Linked DNA regions of Coturnix japonica. The protein of the gene in region 6 interacts with the protein of the main gene of each other region in a biochemical or structural test. Links are inferred from orthologs where the notes say so. Each region holds a gene or a part of one and is shown on either strand. Other genes may lie near its edges.

Region 1 (3,500 bases), on a different chromosome or scaffold from region 6:
AATCATGTCCCCATCCTCAGAAAGCACCATAACAAATCCATCAAGAGCTTTTAAGTAGAAACAGTTCAGTTCCTTCTCCATTTTGGCTTCTGTCTCCAGCTCACCTACAAGAGACATTTTTATTCCAGTAAATATCAGTCATTCTTATCTTCAGAAATCCAGTCTGCAAGGAGCCAATCTTGCAGAAATGTACAGAAGAAGCATCATTTACTTATCTAAGCTCTCAGTTAAATTCAAGGTCTAGTAATGGTATCAGGAATCTCAGAACATCAGAGTGAGACTGCTTTCATGCATCCACCAGTAAGCTTTCTACCTTAAGGAAAGTCTAGCTGACAAAAATGCTATTAATTTCTTTTAAACCACTGTCTGATTCAGAAATATTGTCACCCTCAACACACATCCAGCCCCTTGCCAGGTTCTGCTGACAAGTTCTGCACTTACCAGCATCCAGCAGCTTCCTCATGCGCAGGTAGCTGATGGTCAGCCTCATTATGGAGGCCTTGTCCAGGTGGGCGCTGACAGTGTGGGGCAGGGGCAGTTCATGAGCCAGTTCATAGAACACTTCTGATTCCTTGCTTCTTCGGCATCTGGCTGCATCTCTCGACTTCTCTTTCCTGCGTTCAGAACTAATCCTGTATTTAAAAAGTTTAGGATTAATATAAAAGCTACAAAATTACCTCAAGTTAAATGCTGAATGGACTAAGCTGGCCCATAGCTAGTTAACCAGTTAAGTTCAAACTTCAATTTACACATTTAAATGCAGTTCAGAGTATATAGTTCTGCCAGAATTAGATTCAGAACCATGAAAGGTCAGTCCTTCAGAACAGTTCTTTCAGTCCTTCTCTTGAACACTGACTTCTGCCTCTCTAGCCTTCAAAACCTGTTTCCCCACTAAACCCTAACGTCCCCCTAAAATGCTGCAGCTTACTTTATATCCACTGTGATGCTCTAGTAATACCATTTACACTCTCCAAGTTTTTCCCTTTATACCACCTCATCCCTCACATGCTAAAGCTGTCATCCTTACAAAGCCTGCCAAACAGGTCAGATAAGCAAATTTACCATGAGGAGTCCTGCCTTTCAAGTGTTTGGAAAAGTCCCTTTCCCACTTTTCCCTGCACATCCTCTTCCATTGCCTCCCTCAAACACACCAAGTAAATGACAGCAGGCATAGAAACAACCATAATCCTCAGCCATTCAATAATGCCAATAATTGTCCCTTCTCCCTGTGCCCACATCAGTGGAAATCAGGTCACTGCAGTTAAATGTGCTTTTATTTTTAAATGGACTATGGAAAGTAATACATTATGCTTTTGCATTGTGTATATATCTATATCTATCTATATCTTTTGAAGGCATCTAGTCTTCTTTTTGCATGTATTTGAGATACCAAGCACAGTTGTACTGATCAGTAGACCCTCCTTTCTCCATTTACTTGCACTGAAAACAAATGTATCTCTATAAGTACAGCTGTTGTAATTCAAAGCAGGTGCCTTTGAACGTCATCATGAAGAGATCAAATGTTACTAATGGAAGATGGCAGAAAACAGACCTTTGTTACATTGTATTATATTTGCTACTGCAGATTGTGAATGACACTTCGCTAATTGCAGTAGACCACTCAAATTATCCTTGCTATGTCTGTGGATCTGTGCAAATATAATACAACTTTTTAATTAGCACATCATCTTATGAGAGGTACCGAGAGTGACCAAAGAAAGAGACTCACATGCTGATATTACCAGGGAAATAAGGAACCAGATTCAATGGAAGCAGTTAAATATAAACAAATGGAGACCTTCAGATAACTAACGGATGATTAGCTTAGTAAAAAATCCCTGACGTGCACTAAGTCCATCAGTTTCTATGACCGCAGTTTGTGTTCCTCAGAAGTGCAGCATGAAGTAACTGGTGATCTCTCTTCTCTTGCAGATCTCTCTGCATTCAGTCACAGCCTGAAGACTAAGAAATGGATATCTTGGCCTAAGAATCCCAAGGCCCTGGACATATAGGTATATCCTGAAAGTCACTACAAGAAGCTTGAGCTTTAATGGTACTGAAAGAATAATTCAGCTATTTAAAACAGAATGGATTCAACATTCCTTACTGAAGTCGGACCTCCAGTATCTTTTATCTCAGTGGAAAACTAAGGGTGGAGGTGAAAAACCATTCACAATTCTGGCCTTTTTCTATGACCACAGGTTTTGCCTCTGACAAAGGTAATACAGGTCACAGCCCTTAAACAGTTTCACCTTTATACCTCCCGTTTTCCTTTGTTAGCTACTCAAGATCCCTTCACTTGCAAACGGTTCGTTCCACTACAGAATTATTCGAAGTAATTGGTTCCCATTGGCATGGATGCCAGAGCTTTACTATGGCTTCCCTTTCAACTGCAGACAGCTCTTTTAACCTAAAGCTGTGCTTTAGCAATAATGCTGTGTATTTCAAGTCTGAGCATTTGTCAGGCTCACAAGTAAAAAGGAAACGTAATGAAGGGCAATGCAGGAGATGGAAATAGTCCTTTACCGTGCATTTGTTTTCTGTCTGAAAGCTCCATGTTCTTGAAAACATTTCAGCTGGATTCTTGATGTTTGGTTTCAGGACACTCAGCATAGATTTCAATAGAGAAGTCAGAACTCTCCATGGCCCTTAAATGTCTGATTACTAGCTTGAATATTGCCCAAATCAAGCTCACAGTGCTGCTCTTAAAAATGAAACCCACAGCAAGTGAATCAAGCACGGCTTATGGAAGCCCAGCATTACAATGGGCAAAACTTAAGGAAAGCCCAAATGTTCATAACAGTGATGTCCCAGCAGCAGACCCAGGTCTCCCTCTTACTACATATTTCCTTACGAGAAAGGCTACCACTATAGATAGACATTTAAACTGTACAGCAGAACGCTTTACTATTTTTAGCTGTTGTTGAAAACTAAGCTGTAACTAATCTGGGTAAAACCCAGCAATTTAAATGGGAAGATTAACCTCCAGCTTGAAAGAGCATTTCTTTAATGGATCAAATTAATGGGGAAAAGGTCTTTCAGAAATGAAGTTTAATTACCAAGTGAAGTCAGAGTTGCCTCAACATGGGATGTCACCAAATACGAGAAAGCAAGAAACAAAAAACCCTTGTGCTGTTGCAAATCTAAGCTCTGTTACTTCCAGTTGCACAAAGTCAATGAAAAAGCACACTGTGTAGCTGCCAGAAAGTGTCACTATAGTCTATAATTAAGAGTTCTCATTAATCAACACCAACATCAAAAACTTAAGATGACTATCACAACCTTTGGCCTGTTGCACCTAAAGCTTCAGAAGATCATCACAGTTGAAGAGTGGGATCATACATGCAATGAAAATAGCAGGAATGCCCATGGAAGGCAGGAAATTGCCTGCATTTTCAGGTATGATGTTTCCTGCCCTATTTCACTGCCAGACATTCATTTCCATTTTGTGTTTCTAGCCATGGGATACAGAAGCAGAAAGCAATCTAATGCAAGATATA
Region 2 (3,975 bases), on a different chromosome or scaffold from region 6:
GCACGGATGGGCAGCACACAGTTCTCCCAGCAGGCTGCTGTTCAAACACGGTGTGTTTATGGTGGTGGGGAGCCAGGAGGCTTTGTATGGCTGTTCTCCTGTGGGCTGAGGGCTGTGTGTGCACATCCAGGTGAGTCAGCACCAACCTCCTGCATCAGCACCTCCAGGTGTGGCTGTGTGCGTGAAGGAAGGTGCAGCACAGACAGGCTGCAGTTGTGCTGCCTCTGCAGGTTTCAGTGCACAGAGCAGTGTGTGCCCAGCACAGCTCATGGGGCTGCATTGCAATGCTCCCCTATGATTCCCTATGATGCTCCATCCCTGCATTCAGGTGTCCTTCCCACACTGTACCTCCAACAGCTATTTCTACAAGTCCAAAATGCCAGAAATATAACAAAAAATCACCAAAATGTGACACGTTTTTATTAAAAAAATAATTTACTGCATCTTATGTACAAATCAAATGAAGGTCCGCTCATTAAATACTGACATCAGTGACAAAAGCTGCAGGCAGGAGAAGCGAGCTTTCCTACTATGTTGAACCAGCTGGAACTCAAGGCAGGGATGTTTGTTCAGTGTCTGTAGCTCAGTGTGTTCCTGAGCCATTCCAAGTATTGCCATATATATATTGAGGTGTATAGGGAGGATGAAGTGGTGTTCATGCAGCGTTATTTGCCGTACGTTTCACTGCTCTTAGGTAATCCAATCTGTGAGCAATCCTGTTGCAGCTCATGGCATCGTGGGGAGGAGATGCGATGTGATGAGAGGCAGGAGGCGTTCATGAAGCTGGCTGCACGCCCTGTAAGATCTGATGCTTCTCCCTCCTGCTGTCTGAGGAGGATTCTTGGTGGCTGTCTGTGAGATTTCATGCACAGCAGACACTGGCTGATACTTAAAGATCTAATTCCTTACGGCTTGCACCTGGTTGTACTCTACAAGTGATACCACCGAAGATACTCAGCACCCCTAAATACCACTATCAGCACAGAGCCATCACGGGCAGCAAGTTGAGGTCCAACCTCATCTCATGGAGTTAACAAAACACACATTGATTTTAATTGAACTGAGGATTCACTGAGATATAAAAAGCCTGGAGCAGGCTCTAACTCAGTCTGCTCTGTGTCACAGGGCTGGCCTGCTTGCTAGAAACTCAGTACCACCAGCCACACACACTCACATTCCTCAAAACAGACTGGCAGAGGTGGAGCAGCCATGCTGAATCAAGGCTGCTTTCCTTTATGCTCTGAGCCCTACAGCCTAGAGAGAGGCACACGCAAAGCCCTGTGGAGCTGAGTGCCTGACTGCCTGCTCCACAGTCCTCCCTGCTGCCCTGCCAGGTGTTGTTGAGCACCCCCAGGGCTGTGGCAGAGCACAGCAGCTCACAGAGCCACGCGTGGTGAAGGAGCCGGCTGCCAGCTGGTGATTTCATACAGCATATCCACGATGAGCTCGACAATGTCTGCGTTGCCAATGATGGGTCGGAAGAAGAGGTCTGTGATGAGGGCAGGAGGGATGGATTTCAAGGTGGAGGTGATGAGTAAAATGAGGGTAAAGCGGTCCTGGTCCTTGGGGTGTAGGATCTGCACAACTTCCTGAAGCGCTCGCTCGGCTTCCCGCTGGAGGCTCTCGATGTACAGGGAGGCTGTCAGCCCTGGGACATCTGCCAAGAGAAAGGAGGGAAGGATGTGAAGAGGAAGGCTGGAAAACAGCTCGAGGTTTCTCCCATCTCTCTCCCCGTATCTTGGAGAAAAACCTCAGAGCCATTAACAACATGTATTTCAGGGCTGTTGCTTTGAGGGAGTAAATACAGCTAATGAAGCAAACATGGGCTTTGTAGAGTAAGACCCAGGGTTCTTTGATTGCAAGGTAAGGAGGTCTCTGCTTTTAAACACTACATTTTCAGTATCCCTCCTCCCTGCTTCCCAGAGGTAAACTGCATTGCTGGTGCTAATGATGTGAGCAGCTCTCCCTGCTCTCACACACACTTTTGCCCAAACTCTGAGCGACTCCAAGCCAAGAGCAGTGTTTTTAAATGCTAACTCATGCAGGGCTTTCTCTTGCCACCAGCAGGCAGAGCTGGGAGGGTTGAACACTCACCAGGATTAAAGAGAATGGCTCCCTTCAGGTAGGCGTATTCTTTGGGGCTCAAGTCCAGGCTCCAGAAGGTGTTGAGGCTGCACTGCAGCCACTGCACAGCGGCCAGCATGGGCTGAGTCCACTCAGGCTCCTGCCTTTTGCTTTGGCCATCGAGGAGGATCTTCTCAAGCATGCTGGGGGCTGGGGTCTCCATCACCTCAAATGTCACCGTCTCCTGGACCAGCCCCAGGAGGAAGAGGGGGACCCAGCAGCTGTCCAGCAGCAGGAGCTGGTCCCCTCGAGGCAGCAGGTGGAAGGAAGGGAGGTTTTTCATGAAGCTGATGGTTTTCACCAACACGTCGGATGCAGCTTGGCAGGTGATATGGGGTGTCCGGAGGCAGACCGTCCAGCGCTGGTGGCACAGGCAGCGTTGGTGAGGTGGGCTGTGGCTCAGGTTCTGGCTGAGGAGGGTGTAGAGAATGGCTGGGTGTTTGTCTTCATGCTGGCACTGACACCTCTCGCAGTCCATGTCTATGCTGCTGGTCATCAGAGCAGAACTGGGAGCCCCGGATCCTCTGTGAAACTCCGCAGATGGGAGAGACCTGTAAGTTTCCTCCCCGTCTCAATCTGGGAGTGACCTGTCCTCCCAGCTCTGCCAGCACATGGCTGTTCAAACAAGCTCTTATAAGGCTCGGTCACAAGTGGAACACCCCTTCCCAGCCTTGACCGCTCCGTGATTAAGCGGTCCTCATTAAAGAAGAAAAAAAACAACAAAAAAAAAAAGCCACCAACCCCAGCTGTCCCCAGACTGATTGGCTGGAACCAGCAGGATCTCAGCATGGCGTCAATGGCCGTTTTCTCAATGAAACCCCAGCAGGGGCAGCGGGTTGGGCAGCCTTATCACAATTACCCAAACAGTATAAACAAAGTCATTAACCCGGGCTGTACCATGGCACCAAGGCCCCACGCTGCAATCAGGTTGTGCTATCTGGCAGCTGTCGCTGCCAAGGAGTTCACACACACACACACATACACACACACACATACACACACAGGGTGTTCGTCTGAAGCGAGGACCCCATGGCAAATGGCCTTGGAAAGAGCAACCTGGAAGTCATTTTATCAGCAGCTGTTTGCCTAACCTTGTTGACAGGAGATCGGTGTTGTTGCAGTTAAGGAAGGTGGTGAACTGAAAGACTAAACCTAAAGGCAGCAGCCCATTGTGCTGAAGGAGTAATGCTGGGTAGGTGAGAGGCAGGTTTATAGGTTTTTACCTTGAATTGCTCTGGAATTTGTATGTTTTGATCAGCATTAGTTAAATGACAGCACACAATTATGGATTCCAGTGGGGCCTGTGAGGAATTCCTCACACAGGGGGTGCCTGGTGAACCCTGTGAGGATGGGAACAAGTGATTTGGCAGGACACGGGGAAATGGTTTTAAGTTAAAAGAGGGAAGATTTAGGTTGGATGTTAGGGGGAAGTTCTTCACTAGGAGAGTGGTTAGGCCCTGGAACAGGCTGCACAGGGAGGTTGTGGATGCCCCGTCCTTGGAGGTGTTCAAGGCCAGGTTGGACGGGGCCCTGGGCAACCTGATCTATGGGGTCTCTATGGGGTCTCTATGGGGTCTATGGGGTCTATGGGGTCTCTATGGGAATCTATGGGGTCTATGGGGTCTCTATGGGGTCTATGGGGTCTATGGGGTCTCTATGGGGATCTATGGGGTCTCCTGGGCAACCTGATCTAGTAAATGTGTATGTTTTATGGCCCTGCCAGGCAGGGGGTTGGAGCTACATGATCCTTGAGGTCCCTTCCAACCCGGGTCATTCTGTGATTGATTCTGTGATTTAAGGGCACGCAGCTCTTGGTGCACAAATGGGATGGAACTGATGGCCACACTGATG
Region 3 (4,097 bases), on a different chromosome or scaffold from region 6:
GCACAACAGTGAGCAAATCCAGAGCTTAACCACAGCTGAATTCTTCAGAGTTTTAGCTATCAGCAAAAGCACTTTTAGAAGCAGATCTTCCAGTTACAGATTAAACACGGTTGCACTGCACGCAGTATGTAATTAGTCAAGCCAGAACATCTCACAGCTGTTGTTATAAAGTTCCCCCAGACTGGCTGTCCTCTCACATCCTGCTCTTGACCTTCATCTTCTCCCTTCCCCCAGGCAGATAAAGGGGCACTGCATTACTGGCTAAGCACTGAACATCAACAGCATTTTCCTGTACACGCATGTAAAACACCCAAAGAATCACTGCACCTATGAGAGCCCACTCTCAAAACACTGCCCTGTACACAACAGATCAAGCTTCATAATCACACAAGTTCCACTATATCAAATTAACAGAAACAAAAAACACTCCCACAGATGTGAAGGAGTACAAAAGCAATGCAGCAATGATTCTATAGCAGGTGTTACTTGCAGAATGCAGCCACAATATACAGGACGCTGCTCTCAAGAGATACAAGTATTTTGTAATATACGTGAAGCAGCTGGAGTGAAATACAAAACTAAACAACCTTGAAACTTACAGTATTTCACAAAATCCTTCTGAAAATCTTTCCTGGAATCAACAAAGGCTCTTCCCCTCTCAGTTCCAACCACAAAAACGTCTGTTTCATAGACAGCAATGCAGGCAACTTCTGCCTTGGACTTGGCAAGTTCTTTACACTATGAAAAGACAAAGAGAAAAGCATTCATCATCCCTGTTAAACGTATACAGTAATAAGATGTATGTGGAATCACTTAAAGCAGTTACTACTCCTGCTGCCAGCATCCACTCCTCAAAAGATATCATGAGTTACATAATGTCAGTCATTAGCAAAGGACAGTTTATGTATCTGGAATTCTTTTGATGAGAAACCTTAAAAGCACTGTAGGTGCATTAGTGAAATTAAGCTCTCATCTAGACTGAGGAATTGAACTGCTTTTAATTAAAATGATTTATTCAGTCTATCCTTCGGAAATTATCACTTCAATTAGATTCCAATTAGATAATCGTGTTGTCCTAGCTAGAATTAGTACAGGAGTTTTATCCTTCCACAGCACACTTAACACAAATAGTGCTCTGTTTGGAGAACAGAGCTGGAAGCAGGAAGGCTTCCTGTACAGACACAAGAGCTCTCCAGAGGGAGGTAAGGTATTGCTATAGCACTGCAGCCACTAACCATGGACTCCAGAGCTGAGACAAGGAAGGTGACAACCATCCTGCTTTCAGACGGGTCTTCATCACGCACGGATGATGCTGCTACTGTAGCTTGGGCCATTCTCTTCCTGGAAAATCAAATATAAAGCCAGTTCAGATACAAGCAACAGAGCAGGAATATCCACCTACAGATTCACATGCTCAAAAACCCAGAATACCCTCATATGAACAAATATGCAGGTACAGCAACAGTATAAATCGCTCACTGTTCTGTTCTTCCATACCTCCTGCTGCTTGAAAGTTAAAATGCTGTGCCACGTCTAGACAAAACACCTAGAGAGATGCATATCAATTGATTAGCTGCATTTACACTGACTTCTCTTTCTGTGTATGTTCATATCTGCAATAGCCTGAAGAGGCACAGCAGAAGAAGACTTGTATTAATAGAACGACAAACCTGTTCTGACATCGGTGTTAGAGTGACGTGCCCTGTAACTCTCAGCACAAGTTCATTAGGGGTTGAGCTGTCTGAGTGCAAGCCAAATTCCTCAGCAGCCTCACACAGCTCCAAAGCAGCTAACCCAGCACAAACACTAAAACCACTCGTACTGTGCAGATGGGAAGGCTCGTAACCAAGAACCCCAAAACACAGCTGCTGCAAGCGTGCCTGCACTCAGCCTTGCACATTGCCAAAGATCCGCTGCTCCCAAGGGAAAACAGCCCAGCAGGGGATTTCTATAACAAATACCATTCTAACTGAGCACTTGTTGCCTTACCAAGCTGGAAGAAGAAGGAACATGGATTTACAATGAATGCTCTATCTAGAAGCCAGACTGCTGCCTGGCTGTTACCAGTCTCACCCCTTGGCTGCTCTGCCTTCAAGGCCAAGACACGTTTAATTCCACCCAAACATCAGCCTTCAGACCAAGGACAGAAAGAACCGGATCAGAACAGCACAGATTAGAACTCACAGCTGTTAAACACAAGCAAATCTTGTTAAAGATCCATTACTGGCTCAAAGCAGAAGAAAGCTCTATTTTTCTTCCCCAAGTTTGATTTAGAAAACATTAATCTTGATATGATTTAGCTAATAAAGCACAGGAACCCTGCTGGGATGCAGGCACACCTGTGATGCTAAGGAAGATGCATTTTACCTCTGCTACTACCGAAAACCATTTAAAGAGATGAAACAACCCAAACATTGGCTACTTTAAGAGCATCTCTGACTCCTTTCATCCTCTAGTCTGCTAGTAAAGCAATATTTAACCCAAATCTCACTATTTCCAGACCCAAATAGGCTGATATATACTCACAAAGCCTTAGACACAATGAAAACCACATCCAGCGGCACTGCTCACAAGGCAGGCATACAAATAGAGCAGCATTACCCACAGAGCAGCAATGAAGCTGTCAGCACGGAGCTCCATCACTGCACTGCAGTCAGACAGCGTGGTTCTGTCGGCGATATGGCGGCGATACAGCACGGAGATCGCAATGCAAAGGGGCTCAACCACGAGGCCCAGGCAGGTTAATTACAATTAGCGGTCGGACCACCCCCCCCCCCCCACCAACACGGCCCTATCGCAGGAGCACACTAGGCCTCACCCCTAATTTATTAGCATACAAATCACGCCCATCTCCTCCCTCATCCAATCGCGGCCAGGCTGTGGGGGCTGAGCGGAACAGTGTTGGAAGCGGCCCCTTTTCCCGCAGCCTCTCGGTGCTGGGATGGGCCCAAAGACCCGCCGCCCTCTTTGCGGTCTCTGGGCTCAATACAGCGCCTCACCGAGGGAGCTTTGTATTCATCGATGCACCATTGCGCATGCGCGCTCTTCGCGGGGGCTGCTGGGATATGTAGTCCGCCCGCCGTGCGGCCGCGGCTCAATGCCTGAGGCGGAGAACTACATCTCCCAGCGTGCACCGCGCGGGGGGGTGCTAACCCAACGCGTGGGCCTTGGAGGGGTGTTCTGCCTTAGGGGGGTGTCCGCCATTTTGTGCCCTGCTGCTCCATGGAGCAGGACAGACGTTGTCATTACAAACCAATGGACAGACGTTGTCATTACAAACCAATGGACAGATGCTGTCATTACAAATCAATGGACTACACATCTTCAGGGCTTCCCCAGCACAGTGCCTGATCCCTTAGTATTCATCCAACACAGGACCCAAGTGAACAGGACCAGTTTGGGTTCAACATAGACCAGCACCAAGAGATATGACCAAGGGATATGACCAAGGGACCACTGCCTCCTCCACACAATCTACCTGCATTCCTCTTTGCTCTTCCGTCCTCAGAGCTGTGTGTCTGCAGTCAAGCACATGCAATGCCTTCCTGTGGTGCTCACCCAGACCCCAGCTGCCTTCAGGAGGTTCTTGTCCATGATGAGCTTTGCCAGCTTCAGAATGCTCAGCAGTTCATGCTTATGAGCTTCTCCAGCCTCCCTATGAGCCCACACAAACATTCCATAGCACTCTTTGGAGTTATGAGCCCATAGCACTCTTTGGAGTTGGCTGTTTCCTGATCCTTGAGGAGGGAGCATCCATCCATCCATCCATCCATCCATCCATCCATCCATCCATCCATCCATCCATCCATCCATCCAATTTTGCCAATAATAAAATGGCAAAGCCATGGTGTGGGTCCAGAGGGAGCCACAAGGATGCTCATAGGGCTGGAGCATCTCTCCTGTAGAGCAAAGCTGTGGGCATTCAGCCTGGAGGAGACCCCACATCATAACCCCTTCCACATGCAGTGTTAACCCCTAACCCAGCAAAACCAACTTAACATTTCCCTGCATTTTCTTTTCCCAAAGTGTTTTCTTGCAAATGGGCTCTGAATGCAGCACAGATGCTGTTTATGCTGCTCTCTAAGCATCTCCGTGCA
Region 4 (3,500 bases), on a different chromosome or scaffold from region 6:
AGGTAGAATAAGCACTGCCAGTGTCACTGTCTCAATTCTGTATAGACACGCAAAGCACAGTTCTGCATGTACACAGTCTAACTTTGTATTAGACAGATTTCTGAAGAAAGCAATGCTTGTGTCATCATATCTGCACAGCAGCATGCTCCCATTCTAAAGCCATTTTCTGCCAGCTTGATACGGGTAAAAGTCTAAAAAATAAAAAATAAAAAATCTATAAAAACTAATGGGAATGAATGGGGTTGGAAGGATGCTATGAACATAAATTAACAGTACTACAGAAACTGTGAGCCCAAGAAACGGAAATAGGGCTTTTAGGGCTCATGGGACAAGCAGTCACTCTATTTCTTTCTGTTTGCACTGTGCTAACCTAATTTCACAATGTATATTTCCGGGTTCTATCTTTGATGTTTTATTTTCTAGTTTATTCCTGTTGTTAGGATTTTACAAGTTTGCAAAGTACACTGGCACATGAAAAAATTCAGAAACTTGATACCAAACTCTTGGTAATTATTAAACAGAAATCTTATGAGGTCCTGTAAGGACGGACATCATTATGGAAATTCACAGGTCTGTCTTTTGACAGTCTAAATGTACTTTCTGAAATCAATAATAAGTGATTAATAAAGAAACAATTTAAAAGACTTAAAGCTTATTTAAATGAAAATAATACCAAATATTCAGAGAAAACAGATTTGCAATGACTTACCTTACAGCCTTCACATGCATGAACTCCATAATGAAATCCAGAGGCCTTGTCCCCACACACACGACATTCAATAGCCATAAGTGAGTTGGAAGACTCCTCATGTGGTTTATTGTATAACTGCACTTTTTCAGAAAAATAGGGTGGAGAAGGAGGCTCCATTTTGATTGCACCTGCATATAGAGAAGATTTAAATGAGTAATTCAAAGTATGAGTAAAAATATGGTAGAAGGAAGAATCAGAAACAATCACAGTAAACATAGCCAGATTCATAGGTATGCTTTGTAACACAAAATGATGGTAGCAAACAAAGGATGTTAGGGAGTATAAGCTGTATGCAGATATTTCACTGGTAGTATGTAGGCTGAAAACCTTGAAGAGGCATATAGGAATCATGTCACAAATTCACTTTCCAGCTCTGTAGTGCAGAATGACTTTAATACAGACATGTAAAATTTGCATACAGAGACCTCCTACTTAAAAGGTCTTATTCCTTTTATTAATATCTAATTAGGTGACTTTAAGGTGTTCAGACTACTGCAGAGAGTTGAACTGGACACACTGATCCCATGAAAAACACCTAAGCATCTAATTAACCTACAGTGAATAATTTGTGTATTTAATGAAATTTAACTCTCTCCCAGGACTGCTCAACTTTGGATGCAGTTTAGAGATGAATATTCCCAAATTTTCTAAGTATTGAGAGCACACTGTGGTTGCTTGAGCTTATTCGATATTATAAGTATGACATATTTAAATCAATCACTGCTGATCAAAGAAGGCAATTGTGACAATTGACACCATATATAACATTACATCAAATCATACTTCAGGAATTACATGGCAGATGCAGTATTACCATAACGTGAATGTTTTGTTTTCTGTTTGGCTACACTAAATAAACCGGGAAGTTTTCTTTCCTACAGAAACTACAGGAAAAAAGGAAGCAGAAAATTAGCTGAGAAAAGACCAAGAGGATTTAGCATGCCTAATGATTTAGCTAATCAACTCTTTAGTTTGTTATGAAAATATTATGGAATTTTCTAATCAAGCAAAAGAGAAATAAATTATTAGCAGTAAAGTGTATTTTAATTCACTTCATAAATAACTCAGAAGCACACAGCACCTGGTTCACTCTACTACAAAACTAAATAGTATAATCTTCATGAAAAATTCCTACAAAAGTGATGTCAGATTTGAATAGACTCAGAGGATCTTTAAAAAAGTTCCAGGCACAGCAACCTGACTTCTTACTATGAGCAGGAATGCAATAGCAATTTATTTCAGAGTAGACTACTATTTTTTTATTTTTTACTTTTTCCTCCTTAGAAGGAGAATTCTGTGTACTGTCTTTACATAACTGGGGAAAGGCAATGGTTTTTTGTACCATATAAATAATACTAGGTCACAAAGCTTCAAGGAACACTGTTTTACCAACATAGATGCAGCCAATATTTCTATTCCATCAGTTTCTTAGCCTGTATGGAATTCAAAAGCTCTGTGTATTATTATTTTCTATGTATGCTGCGTGTTACTATATGACGCCTTGTCTAATCACTAGAGGCTACTTGAGTGAAGGCTGTCCTATCAGGATATCACGTGGATATCTCTGTTGATTTTTGGATTCACAGTCTCTGCATTTAGGCATTTGAATCCATCCAGTTCTTTTGCTGGTGGTACAATTTCTGGAGAACAAAGCAAATGTGAGCACGAAGAAACACTGAAAAATAAAAAACATACTTTGGCAATCCTGGAGCTTGATATCATACTTATAATCCATGCTCGTTTGATCAGCTCTTCCAAGAGGTATATCTTCATAGTGTGGTGAAGAAATGCTTGAGAAGTCAACAGTGGTAAATGGCTTTATGTCAAAGGAATGCATATGATCATCCATCGTAGACAGATCCACTGGGCTAATTCCAAAATTAACGGGCCAAAACGGCATTTCTGTGTCAACCATTGTAATCTCTGAAAACAAAAGAAGAAACAGGCTTTTTAAAGATGCTACTTATTTCTGTAATGTGTTTGAGCCAAAGTTGAGGCCTAATTGTCTACTGCCCAAAGGACCGAGATGCAAAGTGTTAATATCAGAATCTTAAATGCAAGGCTCGAGGAAAGTTATTTTATAGCCTTTTAAATCTCATGTATGTTTATGCTGTAAACAAAAAGCTTCAGCCTGTGAAAATCTTTGGCAAACTGAATAAATTTAGACTGAGTAATAAAATGTTAATCTGAGTCAGATGCATATCTGACAGTCAGATGAACCAAAAATCATTGACTTAAACTTCAACTATGAAAAAGTTCACAAACTGACTCATAACAAGTGTTCATATTTAGTTTTCTATGATTCATAAAAATGACATTTTTATCTAAAAATAGAATAGAAATTATGGAACTAAAATAATTTGGTCACTTTGGCTTCTCAATTTGGACTTCAGATCCATCAAATAAGCAACTTTTAACAGCAGCTTTAGCTTCTAATTGACTGAAATAAATGAGATTTAATTTACACAAAGAAGTTTGCATGTACATTATTAACTGCTTTCCTTCCACTGAAAACTATTAACCTCAGCTATGTTGTAAATCTGTTTGCCTATTTCTGGATCACAACACACACAATATGTAATTTCTTCGTACAACAAAACAGCCAGGCAATAATGACCCCAAATCAATGATGTTCATAAGCACTTCAGAATTATAAGAATTCGGTTTTGGATATAAAATCAGAACATTTCAGCATGGATTTAAAGATATAATCTTTACATATGACTGATCTCATAAATATCCTGCAAAC
Region 5 (4,124 bases), on a different chromosome or scaffold from region 6:
TAAACTTGCCATCCTCCTCTGCAACTGGAACACATGCTTCAGCCAGCTTCGACTAATCCCCAGTTTCCAAAACACAAGAAACAGGAATTACAGCCCCACCTAGGCTTCCCCAAGGACTTATCCTACCAAACAAAGCTACGCTACACACACCATTCCCCCCTGTAAAGAGGAAAAGGGAGAGAAAGAAAAAAAATTACAACTACCTTAGTAGTTCTCAGATGCTACAATACTGAAAAGCGTAAGAATTTATACAGAACAGATTTACCATCCTGCATGTCCCCAGCTGTTACATTTGAAATCAAGACCGAGAGGAACTAAAATTACGTGCAATCTTATCCTATCCACAGTACTAGACAGGGAACCAAGAGTGGATATTTCAAGCTAATAAATGTTGTTTTCTGCTTTTATCTAATTTAAAGCGCTGCTAATGATCGAATGTTCTAGTTAAGTATGTATACACTGATTCACACTTCCAAACTGCTTGTGCATCTCTGGAAGTTCTTTAGCTGCAGTATGCACACTTTGTATATAGGTTAAAGGAAATGAAAAACAGGAGCCAACAGAAAGAGTTCAGTTTCCCTCTGACTTACACCAAATGTCAACCAATATTTTACAATGCAGACCACAGCAAGCCTTTACTTATAAGAACAAAAGTGACAACGAATGAATTCTGTAACTGGAATGTAACATCTATATAATGACAACTTTGATGGTAATCAATAAGTTCATCTTCCATGTGAGGGTCTCCTGAAGCTTGGAGTGTACTAAGAATTACTTTCTCTTGGGACCTGGATTTTTACATCTTACTCTGTCCATTTTATTATTCAATGCCTCCTAAATATGATGAAAAAATTCTGTACCTCTCCCATTTGCTGCTCAATAATTTGATGGGCCAGTTCCTCTATGGTTGCCATGACTGTTAATCACCAGAATTTCCTGTCAAAAAACAAAAAAAGGAAAGAAGATGCTTAACATCTACAGCCTTTCTAATAAAAAACACCTTCGGGAAAATAGGGTCCATAGACGTAAATCACACTCATAATTGTCTGCAGGTGACATCCCTGCAAAAATGTGAAGCTTAATTATACTGTGAAAGTAATAAATTATCTCCTATTTGCAACCTTCTGTATCTTTGTACTCAACTCACATTTTCCCTCACTATTCTCACAAAGAGCAACAAAATAATGAACTCCCTGAGAACAGAAGGTTATTATTGGCCCTGACATTAGCAGGGACATAATTAACACCTTAAAACTAGAACCTGGCCAATTTTGTTGATGCAAATCAAGGGCAAAAAATTTAACTTCTAAATACACACGGATCCATTTGTGCAAGTAAGAGTGTCTGAAGGCCAATTCTACACTTAGCATCAGTATTACGGTTGCAGGGTAAGAAGTCCAGATCTTCATGAGAAGGTTTTTCTAGGATTTAATACATTACTGCTGTAATGCAGCATTAAGTATCCAGATGTATGCATTGTTTGTCTGGGCATCTATGTCCAGATATTCATTAGGCAGTTTGTGAAAGGAACAGACACAAATTATGAAGCACTACACTTCATTTTCTGACACAAGTTGTATTAGGAACACTTATACAAGGCAAGACAGTACTCTTACATTAAAGGATTTATCTATACACAATATTTGTTTCAAATACAGAATATATTTGAATTATATAGCTTTTACGTTGCAGACAAAGTGTTAATAGAAGTAGTTATATATGTAGGAAAGCTGTACATATAACAAGTATAATCGATTTTCCCCCTTTAACTTTGCTAGCACTTCTAGGAACTATCTACTATCCCAATGAACTCTTAAATTAATTCATTAATTCATTAAATTGAGAAGATGACAGGTAGATACATAAAACATCTAAGACTAAACCTTACGTTGAAAAGCATTCTCTCCTTAGAAAATCTAATCAGTACCAATATCTTTGCAGGAGTGCTCTATTAAAGCACTCACACATACAGTGAGCTGCAAAACAACCACTAGGAAAGATTTTCAAGCCTGCTGATGCCCGGTTTGAATCCCCCCTGTGGCGCAAGTGGTAGAAGTGCCGCTCTGCTACACAGGGGCTCAAATCCCGGGGGTTGGACTCGATGATCTCTAAGGTCCCTTCCAACCTGCACAAGACTGTGAGACTGTGATGCTGTGATACTGTATTCCAACAGATGTTTTCTTAAGTGGAATTACAGAACAGCTTCGCAGGAAGGGACCATTTTCAAGCCCACCCAGCTCCAACTCCTCTGCCATGGGCAGTGCTGTCCCCCACTGGCTCAGGCTGCCCAGGGCTAAATCCTGCTCGGTCCTTAATACCTCCAGCGATGGGGCACCCACAAATTCTCTGGGCAACCTGTTCCAACACCTCACCACCCTCTGAGGAAAGACTTTCCCCCTAACACCTAATCTAAATCTCTCCTCTTTAAAATTGTTCAGTCTTTTCCCATCGCTATCAGAGCATGTCAAAAGTTAGCCTCCCTCCTGTTTAGAAGCTTCCATTTACTGGAAGGTTGCAATGAGAGCACCCCAGGGCCTTCTACAGGCTGAACACAAGTTTGAGGTCTGCTCCTGCCTGCACCCCCTGATGCCAGCACTGGTATATCTGTGACCTCATAGCCAGAAGCAAAGCTTTATGTTAGTTTGTGTTAGTTTTCAGCCCAATGAATGACTTAACTCATTACATTACCATAAAAATGCTACTGCTGCACCACTGGTGGCTTGGAACTGTAGGATCACCCCTTTCCACAGCCACAGAATGATGTCCACTTAGGCCATCTGAAGTCTCCCATGCATTCGCACAGCTCTATAAACTGCTGTGAGGTGAGCCTTGGAGTTTAGACACACTTATTTTGGAATTTTATGGATGAACCTGGTGAAGAAACAAGAAAAAGAGGATGAAAATAAAGCAACGGGCAGCCCCAAGAACAAACCAGGACACGTATATGACCACAAAGTGGTCTGGCAGACTTCTGGTCCACATGCTGAAGTACATGCACAGGAAGCAATGTAAAACTATATACATGACATCACTAAAAACAAGTACAAAATCCTTCACTTGGCAAAGAATTTGAGGTCATTTGCTACATTCCTCGGGTTCTTCCTTGTACACATTAGTATATTTGCGCTTCTGTAGCACAGCTTAGGTACTATTCACCTGCTAACGTTTGGCCTGAGAAACACAGGAGAGATAAATCTCTCTTGAAACATTCCCTCCTGGAGAGAGAAATGGATCTGAATGTTAACAGGAAAGGTTATCAGACCCCAAAGCCACAACCGGTTTGCTCAACAAAAGCTGCCTGCAGCCCAGGAGAGGCCCATGGAGGAGCAGGGCATCCTCCTGCAGCCCACAGGTACCATACGAAGCAGATCTCCATGTGCAGCCATGGAGGAGCCCATGGTGCAGCAGTGGATGAGGCCTGGAGGAGCCACAGCACATGGGGAGCCCCTGCAGGAGCAGCTGCATCTGAAGCTGCAACCTGTGGGGTGAAGCCTGTGGTGGGGCAGGAAGGCTGGGGGAGCTGCTGCTGATGGGGACCCATGTGGAGCAGTGCCTGAAGGGTGGGCCCTGTGGTACAGAGCTGTGCTGGGGCAGTGCTTGGAGAGCTGCAGCCTGTGGGAAGGCCATGAGGCATCAGTTTGAGAAGGATGGAGGGACCCCATGTGGAGGAGGGGCAGAGAGAAACCATGGAGGAGCAGCAGGGACGAAGCATTACAGACTGCAGCCCCACTCCCAGTTCCCCTGCGCCACTCACAGGGTGGGGAAATAGAAGAGAGCGGGCAAGGAAGGTAGTGTTTTCAGTTGGCTTTCAGTTCTCACACTTCCAGTCTGCTTTGCTTTGACAGTAGCTGGTGACTGATATCCCTGTCCTTACCTTAACACATGAAAGTTTTTCACATCTCCTCCCCATCCTTCTGAGGAAGAGGAGTGTAAGAGCAGAATGATGGTGCTCCCCAACCTAATGGTGTTAAATGACCACATCCACACACTCTGATTAAGAAGTTTTATTACTGAGGTATGTATATTCAGGTTGTTATGCACTCGTGAGAGAAACTTCTACTAGTGTTAGAGACTGTATTTAAAGCTTGAAGTGGTTAACTATATTCTGAAAAAGATGTCTTTGC
Region 6 (3,500 bases):
CATATAGTGGAAAGAATTTACACTGCAAAAAAGCATAGTTTGCTACATTATTATACTAAACACATTCATGTCATTGAACTGATAGCCAGTTGTTTCCTACCAGTGTTTCAAAGACAAGCCCATCAGCTCTGTTACCTTGTTGTTCAGCTGCGTTGCTCCCTGCAAGGAGGCCCCAGTGTAGCGAGAGCAAAACTCAAAGAGCCCTGGAAACACTGGGCTGAAAAAGAAAAAAAGAAGTCATGATTCAAACAAAGGACATCTTCTTATTCCTCCACACGCCTCCCAAGCAAAGCCAGTCCTGAGAGCTCTCCTCTGCCACAACACACCAGCATCTGTCTTGCAGCCCTGCTGATGTGTGTCCAGAGCTGGGATATGACTTGGGAAGGAGGACAGGTCTGCCCCATGCTATCTTCCTTTATCAGCATTGAGAAGACCCTGCCCATTCCCCTTCCCAACTCACAGCACAGGATGCAATATACAGTAAGTGGATGTGAATGCAGCTCTTACAGCAGAGCTGAGGCAGGACCAAACCCACCATGCAGAGCCAATAAATGCACCAGGATCTCTAAGAGGGTATAGAAACAGAAGATGTGGTGCCCATGTGCCACTAACTCACAAGTATCACATCACAAACATTATACGTGGACAAATAATAGCTTAGAGACTTTTATTTCCCCCCCTGTATTCTTGTAAGTGGTTTCTGATCAAAGTAATGTTGCACAACAGCCTTCTGATTCCCAGTCTAAATATTAAAAACCCGGCTATCCCAATACCTTACTGGGATAACACTGTTCTTTATCTAATGTCACTCCTCTCACATTAGTACTTACAGCTTTCCCTTCCAAAGAATAGAAAAGAACAGTCTTATTCTCTGACAGCCATTACTTTCCTCAGACAAGGCATACTGTGCACTTCCTCGATCACATACAGCCCTTCTACACACTTCTGTCAAGGTTTGCCTCTCACAGATGTGAAAGACTGGAACTGAATATTTGTAACAAGCTCTCATGTGAATATAGAAGCATTAAACTCTCCTCAGTTCTACCTGAAAATCAGGCTCTCAGAGCTACCTTGCACTTAACATGCACATATTAAGGTAGCTAAAATAGGCAACAGTTTAAAAAAATAGATATATAATATTTTCAAGAAGAACAGGAGGTTCTGCAAGAACAAGCGGAGTCACAGTCTCTAACATAACCAGTTTAGGATGTAAATGCAGATCTAAAAGGAGGATGATAAGATATGAAGAGAAGGGGAAGGAATTGAGGAGGTTGCAATAATCTGCTATGCTCAAGAAGGGCATGCACCTCATTCTGCTTAAAAAATAAGAACCAGTACACACTACAATAGTTCTCCAGACACAAACAGTGCAAGATCACAGCAGCATTTCCACCCCCAGGTTCACAGGAGGCACAGAGCACTCACCAGTCATCGCCCACATTGAAGGCATTGAGGCTTTTGGTGAAGCCCTGCATGTTGTTGGGACTCACTCTCTGCAGGAAGTCTATGTAGTCCTCGGAGTGGAATCTGCACATGTCATGCTGCGATGCCTGGTATGGCTTGAAAACCTTCAAGAGAAAGACAAGACTTACATGCTGTCCAAAGCTGTGTTTGCTTTGACTGTAAGAAACCTCAGGCTGACAAATGACCCACACAAAGTGTATCTAAAAGTGTTCCAGTACACCAGCTTCCTGATATTCACGTTCATTGACATGCAACATTCCATAAAGCCTGTTTCCCAACAGATTCCTATCTTTTAGCCATAACTGCAACTCCAGTCCTTCATAATAACTGCAGCTTCTCCTATACACTCTCTGATCCCTTTTTTCCAACACTATCCCCCCTCGCTTTGGTTGGACAAATGGCAAACCAGCAAAAATAAAAGGCAGTCGAATCCAAACTTCAGCTCTGTCCTCATGGGGAGCACTACTGCCTCACCAGTCACAACATCCTGATGTAATGGAGGTTCCAACCCTCCATCACAGCCGCCTCCAGGGGCTGGTAAGTTCAGACATTCATTTGAAGAAGGTTCTTAGGCAGATGGAACATTTGCATAAGCTTTGTTTCCTTTGGAAAGTCAGCTAAAAACAGTCACGTGGCCGGATGGATTCGAACTAAAGTTCTCATGACAACACACATTTGCCAGTTTGGCACTTAACACGCATACCTCAATAAACAGGAAGTTAAAAATCAACACCACATACCCAAAAAGGGGAAATTAAAGCTACACTGAAAGCAGTAACAAAATCTTCCATCTTTCAAAGCTTGTCTTAATTAAAGCACACTCTCCAGAGGGAGAACATGCTGGGGCAGCTCCCACAGCGCACCTCCCTTGGGCCAGGCAGGACCCTGGATACTTTTCAGAAGTAAAATACAACCTAACAAACATGACATCTCCTTTACTGTGCAACTGTACTGCTCAGCATGAGGCACGGTGCTTTCAATGTGAATGTGTGGAGCTCTGCTCCTCAGAGGCTGCTGCCTGAGACAGCTGGAGCCAGGAGGGTGGGACCAGCAGGTGGGGCTGGACCCCCACAAGGACTATCAGGAATCCTGATGACTGATCACCTCAAGACCACAGTGTCACAGAAAAGAAGAGACACTCACAGGACATTAAGAGGTGCTCTTGGATAAAAAACAACCAGGGGGAGCAGAAAGGAGGGATGAAAAACAACAAAAAAAGACAACATCAAAAGCTTCCAGACCTACTTGCTGTTGGTAAAAGTGGAAAGCTGCCTCTTTTCCCCTCATCTTGCCCTTCACTCACTGCAGCCATAACCCCAGGCACCTCCCTGAGCATGCCTGGCACTCAGCCCCTCGCTCAGCCAGCTCAGCACAAAGCTCTCCTGGTTTTGCTGAGTGACCGAGTTCCATCTGTTCCCACAGGATCCAGCAGCTTCCAAATGCAGCATAGGAAAGGCAGCAGGAACACACAGCAGAAAAAGCAGGGAATCATAGAATCACTCAGGTTGGAAAAGACCTAAAAGATCATCAAGTCCAACCACAGCCTAACCATAGTACCCTAACTCCAACAACCCTCCGCTAAATTGAGGCAGAGAAAAAGCCTCAGAGTGTGGAAGGAGAAAAAAGAGCAGGTTTTGCTGGGGCAGGAGATGGGGACAAGAAAATCAAAGGAAGGGAAAGGCCACATGGCAGGGTGGGTGGCAAGGACCAGGAGTTCCACTGGGAAGAGAGAGCTGATATTAAAGGGGGATAGAGCATCCCCTCCAGCCTGCATTCCATCACTGTGCCAAACAGGGATTGGCTTCCCAGTGACTGGCCAAAGAAGTCAGCATACACCAGTGTGAGGATGGACCCTGCATAGGGCTCAACTCTCAGCAGCTGCTGATTAATACACCTGCAAAAGCTCCTACAATGGCAGCAGAAAAATCCAAAGGATGCGATGTTACTGAACACCAAACTGCAGGAGTAACACTGAATGCACAAGGGAGCTTTTTTAATACTTCATCATTCTGAATTAATTGCAGATCTTGCATCAC

What was found.
Region 1: the proteins of HDAC3 (region 6) and HIF1A form a complex in vitro, tested with the Homo sapiens proteins (2 studies listed by BioGRID). The link is inferred for Coturnix japonica from reciprocal best matches to the Homo sapiens genes HDAC3 and HIF1A.
Region 2: the proteins of HDAC3 (region 6) and NR0B2 form a complex in vitro, tested with the Homo sapiens proteins (2 studies listed by BioGRID). The link is inferred for Coturnix japonica from reciprocal best matches to the Homo sapiens genes HDAC3 and NR0B2.
Region 3: the proteins of HDAC3 (region 6) and GTF2I form a complex in vitro, tested with the Homo sapiens proteins (2 studies listed by BioGRID). The link is inferred for Coturnix japonica from reciprocal best matches to the Homo sapiens genes HDAC3 and GTF2I.
Region 4: the proteins of HDAC3 (region 6) and PPARG form a complex in vitro, tested with the Homo sapiens proteins (3 studies listed by BioGRID, with this or other methods). The link is inferred for Coturnix japonica from reciprocal best matches to the Homo sapiens genes HDAC3 and PPARG.
Region 5: the proteins of HDAC3 (region 6) and NR2C1 form a complex in vitro, tested with the Homo sapiens proteins (4 studies listed by BioGRID). The link is inferred for Coturnix japonica from reciprocal best matches to the Homo sapiens genes HDAC3 and NR2C1.

What each region holds. Positions count from the first base shown.
Region 1 is NC_029520.1:49,081,680-49,085,179, forward strand, and holds part of HIF1A (hypoxia-inducible factor 1-alpha), read right to left. Parts: exon of another isoform or gene 633-3,500; coding exon 442-632; exon of another isoform or gene 105-441; coding exon 1-104.
Region 2 is NC_029538.1:1,621,961-1,625,935, forward strand, and holds NR0B2 (nuclear receptor subfamily 0 group B member 2), read right to left. Parts: upstream 2,801-3,975; 5' UTR 2,621-2,800; coding exon 2,095-2,620; intron 1,658-2,094; coding exon 1,377-1,657; 3' UTR 399-1,376; downstream 1-398. UniProt on the Homo sapiens protein: Transcriptional regulator that acts as a negative regulator of receptor-dependent signaling pathways. Specifically inhibits transactivation of the nuclear receptor with which it interacts.
Region 3 is NC_029534.1:1,909,154-1,913,250, forward strand, and holds the start of GTF2I (general transcription factor II-I), read right to left. Parts: upstream 2,801-4,097; 5' UTR 2,641-2,800; coding exon 2,606-2,640; exon of another isoform or gene 2,527-2,605; intron 2,479-2,526; exon of another isoform or gene 1,498-2,478; intron 1,342-1,497; coding exon 1,236-1,341; intron 739-1,235; coding exon 600-738; intron 1-599. UniProt on the Homo sapiens protein: Interacts with the basal transcription machinery by coordinating the formation of a multiprotein complex at the C-FOS promoter, and linking specific signal responsive activator complexes.
Region 4 is NC_029527.1:3,245,558-3,249,057, reverse strand, and holds part of PPARG (peroxisome proliferator-activated receptor gamma), read right to left. Parts: intron 2,675-3,500; 5' UTR 2,667-2,674; coding exon 2,447-2,666; intron 880-2,446; coding exon 710-879; intron 1-709. UniProt on the Homo sapiens protein: Nuclear receptor that binds peroxisome proliferators such as hypolipidemic drugs and fatty acids.
Region 5 is NC_029516.1:41,307,213-41,311,336, forward strand, and holds the start of NR2C1 (nuclear receptor subfamily 2 group C member 1), read right to left. Parts: upstream 2,801-4,124; 5' UTR 2,689-2,800; intron 937-2,688; 5' UTR 915-936; coding exon 861-914; intron 1-860. UniProt on the Homo sapiens protein: Orphan nuclear receptor. Binds the IR7 element in the promoter of its own gene in an autoregulatory negative feedback mechanism. Primarily repressor of a broad range of genes.
Region 6 is NC_029528.1:14,737,486-14,740,985, reverse strand, and holds part of HDAC3 (histone deacetylase 3), read right to left. Parts: intron 1,959-3,500; exon of another isoform or gene 1,939-1,958; intron 1,569-1,938; coding exon 1,426-1,568; intron 218-1,425; coding exon 136-217; intron 1-135. UniProt on the Homo sapiens protein: Histone deacetylase that catalyzes the deacetylation of lysine residues on the N-terminal part of the core histones (H2A, H2B, H3 and H4), and some other non-histone substrates.